2 linked regions of the Bombyx mori genome follow. The main gene of each other region encodes a partner of the protein of the gene in region 2 in a complex. Links are inferred from orthologs where the notes say so. Each region holds a gene or a part of one and is shown on either strand. Other genes may lie near its edges. The genes, in order: polyribonucleotide nucleotidyltransferase 1, mitochondrial; ATP-dependent RNA helicase SUV3 homolog, mitochondrial.

What was found.
Region 1: ATP-dependent RNA helicase SUV3 homolog, mitochondrial (region 2) and polyribonucleotide nucleotidyltransferase 1, mitochondrial share a complex: the UniProt entries of both Homo sapiens proteins name them as parts of the mitochondrial degradosome (mtEXO) complex. The link is inferred for Bombyx mori from reciprocal best matches to the Homo sapiens genes SUPV3L1 and PNPT1.

The regions. Positions count from the first base shown.
Region 1 is NC_085131.1:2,169,837-2,174,448, forward strand, and holds the start of polyribonucleotide nucleotidyltransferase 1, mitochondrial, read right to left. Parts: upstream 3,098-4,612; 5' UTR 2,864-3,097; coding exon 2,748-2,863; intron 2,534-2,747; coding exon 2,328-2,533; intron 1,774-2,327; coding exon 1,563-1,773; intron 1,436-1,562; coding exon 1,269-1,435; intron 388-1,268; coding exon 231-387; intron 1-230. UniProt on the Homo sapiens protein: RNA-binding protein implicated in numerous RNA metabolic processes. Catalyzes the phosphorolysis of single-stranded polyribonucleotides processively in the 3'-to-5' direction. Mitochondrial intermembrane factor with RNA-processing exoribonulease activity.
Region 2 is NC_085119.1:5,380,436-5,384,265, reverse strand, and holds part of ATP-dependent RNA helicase SUV3 homolog, mitochondrial, read right to left. Parts: coding exon 3,767-3,830; intron 2,221-3,766; coding exon 2,027-2,220; intron 1,221-2,026; exon of another isoform or gene 1,075-1,220; coding exon 895-1,074; intron 697-894; exon of another isoform or gene 597-696; intron 1-596. UniProt on the Homo sapiens protein: Major helicase player in mitochondrial RNA metabolism. Component of the mitochondrial degradosome (mtEXO) complex, that degrades 3' overhang double-stranded RNA with a 3'-to-5' directionality in an ATP-dependent manner.

The sequences.
Region 1 (4,612 bases), on a different chromosome or scaffold from region 2:
CAAGGTGGGTGGCGCATTTACGTGGGCTCCAGTAACCACTTAACACCGGGTGGGCTGTGAGCTCGTTCCAACCATGTAATCAATAAAAAAAAAGGCAAAGATCTAAATTTGTTAATAATAATACCTCATAAATATAATAATAATACCTCATAAATATAATAATAATACCTCATAAATATAATCATAATACTTCAAAAATAATTAGGCCTAATTAATTTAAAACAATATACCTCAATATTTCTCTGATTTTCATAGAAGATAATATTTTGATAGTATCAACAATGTTTTGTTCTAGAGGTGGTTGAATTTCATATTCTCTTTTCATTTTACCATGATCCTTCTGCAGTTTCTCTATCCCTCTCACAATTTGTTGAGCTTCTTTGGTTCCTGAAAGAGATAGAAATAAAACTTTGGTTCAGAGCATTTTTGTTGTGTCCACTGTCAATGTGTGTTGTGTAAATCTTTTCTTCTCAGAATCATTCAATGACTGTAATTACATATTCTATAGTATCTATAGTGCCAAACTAAATAATAAGTTCATTAGATACATAATGAAATTAGTATGACAAGGGACAAGCCTTTTTGTGATAGTAATAACAGTATACATTTCTACTTATAATAGCCTACTAGTATATCAGAGGAAGTGTGAAAGTAGCCCCGGTAATTAAAAATTAAAGAGCGGATGGTTAGTGTGGTATGGACATGTGATGCATAGAGAGAAGATGCAAAGAAATAGTAGTGCAAGACAGAGGAGGAAGAGGTTGACCGAAGAAGACATGGATGGAGTGTGTGAATGACGATATGAAAGAGAGAGAGAGAGAGAGAAGCGAGTATTGAGATTACGATTAATAGAAGAGAATGGAAGAGAAAAATTTGCTGTACCGACCCCACCCAGTGGGATAATATGGAGAAAAAAAGAAGACTACATAGCCTACTTCTGCTTCGTAACAATAATGCATTCCAAGTTGAAGGTAGTAAAGCCATTATACTATACAATTACTGTCCCAGAGTGGTGACATTCACATAGTGATATCTATAAGCTCTGTTAACAACAGCCTTCAGATGAGCCATAAAATAAAAACAGCAAGTTTATAGCAGCTTGATTTTATCAAACGGTATTACTATATTGAAAAATATTTTAATAATTTGTGATTGACGACAATCTTAGAAAATATATAGCAAAGTTACGTTTTTATTTATATACGGGTTTATATTCTGATTCTATTTATAGAAAATATTCTGATTAAAAAATCAACTTACATTCATACCTAATTTGATGGCCTTGAGTAGATCCTGCTGTAGGATGTCGGAGGCGCTACCTTCCAGCATCACTACTAGATTACTGCTGGTAGCTGTCACGATTAAGTTCAAAACAGACTTCTCCAATTCTTTACGTGTTGGATTTATTATTAATTCATTGTCAATTTGACCTAATCTGAAAGAAGAATTATGAGCTGGATACAGATATATAGATTACACAAAACTCTTGGTAATTTAAAATTTATTTAAAGTTTAATGAAAAGCTAATTTAATATTTGTGTAAGCTATGAAAATTGTAATACCGAACAGCACCAACAGGGCCATTCCACGGCACATCGGAAAGTGCAAGTGCTGCACTTGCCGCATTTATAGCTACTGTTTCAGGCAAATTCGTTCCATCCATCGCCAACATGTTGCATACTATCTGTGTATCATAGTTGTAGTTATTCGGGAAGAGCGGACGTAGGGAACGATCTATTACTCGTGAAGTAAGAATTTCTTTTTCTGATGGACCTGTTAAAATAAATTTGTCTTGGTATTATCTAGTTTTTCTTTGTAACTACTGCTTATGCAAAGTGTTTAGTTAAAATAAAATCTATCCATTTTTGACATGCTTTTGTATGCATGTATATTTGCTGGTATTTGATCATCATTTTTAACAACTTCAAGAGGTCCATTTAACTGGAAAATTTGGACACATCAAAAACAATAATTTTACAACTTCCCTATGCTGACTAGCATCAACAGAATAAAAAAAGATGAACTTGATTATTAGTTCAGATTGCTGTTTGGCATATTTTGTCAGTTTTTGCAGCAATGCTGTCTAGACATTAATAGCAGTATTAAACTTTGAAAAATGAAACTGAATTCTCAATTACAATTATTATACAATGGCTCTCATATATTATATTTTATATCCAATGAATGCAATTTATACAGGATCAGTTATGAAAATATTGGTTATGCAGTAGATAGAGCCCATTTTATTTGACTTCAGTGTATTAAAATGAATTGACTGACAAATCTGTTGGCTTAAATGTTTGACGACTGATTGTTACATGTCTTACCCAGTTCTCTCCTAAAAAAATTGGTAGGAATTCGTCCTGCGGCTGCGGCTTTTTGTCTGTAGTCAACTGTGAGTGGTAAGAACGAAGTGGGATTTTGTTTAGCTTTTGACACAACAGTTGATAGCACGCTTGTGTTACCGAGGGACACAACACATGCTCCATCTGCGAATCTTGCGTAACGGCCCGTGGACAATTTCAGGGTGGTCCTGAAAATTATTGGAATTAATTTTAAAACTTTTAAATTTTTTATATCGATTTTATAAAATTAGTATTTTATTGCTATTTTTTATTTATATCAAAGTTATATAAATTATTGAGTTTACTGTATATTCTAAAAGGAATGGTAGATTTGTAATTGTTATATATTTTTATTGATATGTACCGATATATAACCTTAAATATTCTAACCTCGAAACTTACCCGTTAGTAAAAGGAATATCAATTACGCCAAGTTTGGCTTGTGATGAGAGAAATCTACAGTAATACCGACTTTTCGTCTTCAATTTTGTTAATAATATACATTTTTTATGTAACATTTTCTTGTGTATATGATCTTGAGAGTCAAAAAGGACACCCGTTATGATATTAGAAGTACTATAGAATTTATGGTTTTAGTTAAAAAATAATCTTAATGATTTGTTTACTTTTCATAATAATATCTATATTATAAGTTCGCCAATTAACGAAAGTCACTAAAAATAAGTTTAAATTAGACAATATCAAGCAAAAACTTTGACTGATGTTGTTTGACTGAATGTTGATAATTTTCTTTGACAGTTGACAGTCTTGAAACTATAGACCTTTAATTCTTCTTCTTCTTCGTCGCTTTCTTCATTGCTGAAGGTCGTGTCCCTGAAACTTGACCGTTGCCTGTCTCGTGAGCTGTTTCCATCTCGTCCGGTCCTCAGCTGCTCGAATGGCGGTTGCGACTGGCAACCCAGTTAGAGCGGTTACTTGATCACACCAACGGCTAGGTAATCGGCCGCGGGGTCTCTTTCCTTCTACTTTGCCCGTCACAATCACTTTGTCCAAGTTATCTGACTGTCGGCGGGCAATATGACCGAAGTAGCTGAGGATCCTCTGGTAACAGATTGTTGAGAGCCTGACTCGGATGCGAAGCTGATCCAGGATAGATTTATTTGTCCTCTTGGCCGTCCACGGAATTCGGAGCATTCGTCTCCAGCACCACATTTCAAATGCATTTATTTTCTTGCGCTCGGATGCCTTAATTGTCCAGGACTCTGCCCCGTAGAGAAAGATTGAGAAAACTAAGGTTCGGACGAGTCTCATTTTCGTGACGTTAGAGACTTTGCGATTTTGCCATATTCGTTTGAGCTTGGTCATCGCTGTTTTGGCCATCTGCGTCCTCCTCCTTATCTCTCCCTCACTGCCTCCGCGGTCGGTCAGTAAGGACCCGAGGTATATGAACTCGCTGACGAATTCTAGATCTGATAGCTCTCCAGTTCTTGAGAGTTGACTGGTTCTGTCCACTATCATGACCTTTGTTTTGGACTTATTAACGGAGAGCCCCACCAAACTACTCTCATACTCCACTCTACGGAATAGGTCAGCAAGCTCCTTCTCAGATGACGCGAAAAGACCTTTAATACTTCAGTGCTTGAAACACATTTTGACCTGGAGTCTGGACGAACAGATTAAACAGTTTTAAGGATATTTATTAGTTAAAGGTATAATCGCATTGGATATAAAATAAAATTCGCCAAGCATTTGACGCGTTAATGCGGGTCAACAAATTTTAAAATTCTTGGGACTTATTTTCAAGTTTAAAAAAACCTTCTTTTCTGTACATTACAAATACTTGACACTTAATATTTAAAGCTAAAGCATAATAGAATCAATCTTAAAGTTAAACAATCAAACAATAAGTCACAATATTCAGAATCAAATCATCTCTGATGATCTTTGCAAGCATTATCTTTTCTTATTTTGGAATATCAGTACTCGTTAATAAACTCAATAGGTTATAATAGCTACATCAAACACAAGCCCAAGTAAAATCAATGCTTCGGTGAATCTCAAAGGGATCGAAATCGCGACCTACTGAGAAGATCCAGTAAAAAACTCAGTAGGCTCTGTCCGTGGGTTAAGTTGCATGATGACTCCTTTGTCGCGGTCGACAGGTTTGACAAGAATTGTGACCGATGCGATGCTTGGAATAAAACTGGTGAAAAGCACTGAGAGGGCGACGCGACGGCTTCTGTTTAACGTTTGTCCTGTTCTTAATAAGCATTGCGTTACGAATAATTCCATCTTTAGACAATTGT
Region 2 (3,830 bases):
ATTCTAGCACTAACTAGCGACCCGCCCTCGCTTCGCTTCGGAAACATTAAATTTTATTATTGATAGCTGAGTCCCGCGATGTTACCCGTGGTTATTGTCGTACCGCGGGTGAAGCCGCGGGGCGAAGCTAGTCTAAAAAAAGTAGCCTAAGTTACTCCTTATATCATCAGCTACCTATCAGTGAAAGTCTCGTTAAAATGGGTATAGCCGTTCCAGAGATTAGCTGGAACAGACAGACAGACGCTATGAGCTATCGCGTTGTATGAGGTCTCGCGTTGTATGAGGTCCCGCGTTGTATGAGGTCTCGCATTGTATGAGGTCCCGCTTTGTATGAGGTCTCGCGTTGTAAGAGGTCTCGCGTTGTATGATGTCACGCGTTGTATGAGGTCTCGCGTTGTATGAGGTCTCGCGTTGTATGAGGTCAATTTTATTATTGTTTTAATATTCAATTATTATGGTCCAATTATAATTGCATAAGTTGATAAAAAAATGCTATGCAATATCTTTACCGCGACACAGCTTTTCCCCGAGGGCGACACATGTTTTTATTTATCTTATATCTTATCTTATCTTATCTTTTATATATATAAAAATTAATTGCTGTTCGTTAGTCTCGCTAAAACTCGAGAACGGCTGGACCGATTTGGCTAATTTTAGTCTTGAATTATTCGTGAAAGTCCAAGGAAGGTTTAAAAGGTGAGAAAATATAAAAAGCTCGGAATTATATAAAAACAAACAATTTTGTTTTTCCTTTGATGTGTACCTTGTCGGACATATTGTTTGCTTTAAGTTTATTTTCTACAAAAGTTTAGGTATTTTATTTATCGATTGAGGCACTACGAAGTCTACGGGGTCAGCTAGTTTTTTAAATATATTGAACTTGAACATACTCACTTTCAGGAAGGTAGCACAAACGAACGGTAGCTTGTTATTGATGGGCGCGCAACAGAACACGTAGCGCGCCCGCAGCGGCAACGGAACGTGCTGTATCATCTCCGCTAAGAACTTGAACCCCTCCGTGTTGCACATGAAGTAAAGCGAATCGTCGACCGTGCACAAGTGAACGAATATGTCCTGAAACATTCAGAGGTATCGGTAATCGTGTCGGGCATTGTCAATCGCATATTTATGTGAAAACTGAACGAATTCAAATTCTGTTCTAGAATGATTATGTCACACCCTGTATATTAATAATAATAATAATAATAGTAAAGTTGTGTGATTTGTTTATTTTGTCTATTTAGTGTTTCTTCAGGTTTAAATGTGTGATAACGGTGGTTTATTAACTGTTTAATATCTGCGAAAGTGTACAAGTGTGGGAAAATGAAATAAGTCCACTGAAAAAATCTCCGTAAATCACCACCATTTTACTGAGATTATATTTCATCTTATTTCATTTAATTTCATCCCAGTTGATAAATGTTTCAAATTAATCATCTTCATTTCATTTCACTCCATACTATCATTTTTCATAAAAATAAGAATATAAATTACTAGGTCATAAAATCCCTTAAAAAATATTAAATATTGTTTGTCTTTATTAATATTTGTCTAAAGTGTAGTCTTAACGAAATCTGTTATTATACAAATAATCAACAATTCGTTGACAATAGAATCATAATAGTATACAAACTTATAATTTCAATTAATTATAGTCGAATTTCGACAACCGGGGGACCACTAGTTATAGTAACAAAAATGTGGTATGCGCGTTTTAATAAGTTTTTTTTTATTGCTTAGATGAGTGGAGTGGGAGGAGCTTACAGTGCACCTGGTGTTAAGTGGTTACTGGAGCCCAAAGACATCTACAACGTAAATGCGCCACCCACCTTGAGATATAAGTTCTAAGGTCTTGGTATAGTTACAACGGCTGCTCCACTCTTCAAACCTAAACGCATTAATGTTTCACGGCAGAAATAGGCAGGGTGGTGGCACCTACCCGTGCGAACTCACAAGAGGTCCTACCACCAGTAAAATTTTAAGTAAGTTTAATGTAACTTTAATATTGATAGAAAAAAGCATTCACCATGAGACTGCTGAGAGTGGCGTGGGGCAGATGGTAGGCGTACAGCTCCATCTGCTCGGAGGTGGGGTGCAGGCCGGCCTGCGTGACCGGCTCGGGCGGCTGGGACAGCAGCGTCTTCAGCGTCGCGAGGTCTTCGGGCCGGTACGAGGTCACGTGGCCGGTCTCCCACGCGCTGCCGTAACGACCGGCCCGACCTGCCGAACAACAACACGTGAACTCCAATCTATCTATACTAATATTATAAAGAAGAAAGTTTTGTTTGTTTGTATTGAATAGACTCCGAAACTACTCAACCGATTTAAAAAATTCTTTCACTGTTTGAAAGCTACACTATTCCCGAGTGACATAGGCTATAATCTTTTTTGAAAAAAATTAGGGATCCTTACTAAAACTCCAATAATGTAACCCAAGGTGTAAAAAAATTACCTAAAATACTATTTACATCGCGTGCCGTGCGAAAACTATTGATGATAGAATAAAATAATGTACTACTATTTTGTAGAACACATTATTAAGTACAAAAAGTGTCGCGACAGCATAATATGTCTAACTATTATAGTTATGCTGCAATAAGTGTTCTTTTATTTAAAAAAATAAAATAACGTCAAGTATGGTTGAAATTTTTGATAAAGACCCGAGCGGAGCCGGAGTGGGCCGCTAGTACTAATATATAAATCTACAGTGGTTTTTACGGATGTTCCGTTATAACTACTGAGCCGTGCATCCGATTGACTTGAAACTTGGTATCCATGTAGAAAATACATGTACTTAATGGATAGGCTAATATTTATATGAGTGTTGGACTCCCTACACCAGTTGCAGGGGCGTTAATGATGAGAATCTTTGTGGGGTGAGAAATAATAATGTAAATTTTAAATGCCCAGCGAAGCGGACGGGTACAGCTAGTAGCGTATATATTTACTTATTTATATACGGTCCTAAGCACGTCATTACGGATCCTCCCGATCCATTATCGGTGATTTTAGGTACCTCAGGCATTGTCCTCGCCGAACCCATCGCTTGCGACGAAGGGCTTGACGAGTAAATTAACCCATAGACACAGCCCACTGAGTTTCTCGCCGGATGTTCTCAGGGGGTCGCGTTACCGATCCGGTGGTAGATTTTTTTTTATTGCTTAGATGGGTGGACGATCTCACAGCCCACCTGGTGTTTAGTGGTTACTGAAGCCCATACACATCTACAATGTAAATCCGCCACCCACCTTGAGATATAAGTTCTAAGGTCTCAGTATAGTTACAACGGCTACCCCGCCCTTCAAACCGAAACGCATTACTGCAGAAATAGGCAGGGTGGTGGTACCTACCCGTGCGGACTCACAAGAGGTCCTACCACCAGTGCGGATTCTGCGAAGCACTGCTCTTGCTAGGGCCAGTGTTAACAACACTCTGGTTTGAGCCCCGTGAGCTTACATACACGTCAAGAAGCTGAAATAGCCTCTCAAGGCTATCAGCATAGGTAGGAAAATAATAATTATATACGTGATTTTGTATTCCTATCTGTTTGTACAGTGCAGCAAATACATGTTCGGAACGAGAAACTTCATTGAATACGACAAAATTATAAAATGAATTTTAGAAAATCACATCAACCGCATTGAAATTGTTATTGTTATATTTTATAACAGTTTTAACAGGTTTAAAACGAAGATAACATAACAATTGGGTCAAACCGAAAATTAAATAAGCAGATTCCATAATATTTCTTGGCAGTACTACTCACCTGCAATCTGCAACGCTTGTGATATACTAATAACGTCCATCTCTTTCTCACCGTCTTCATTAAT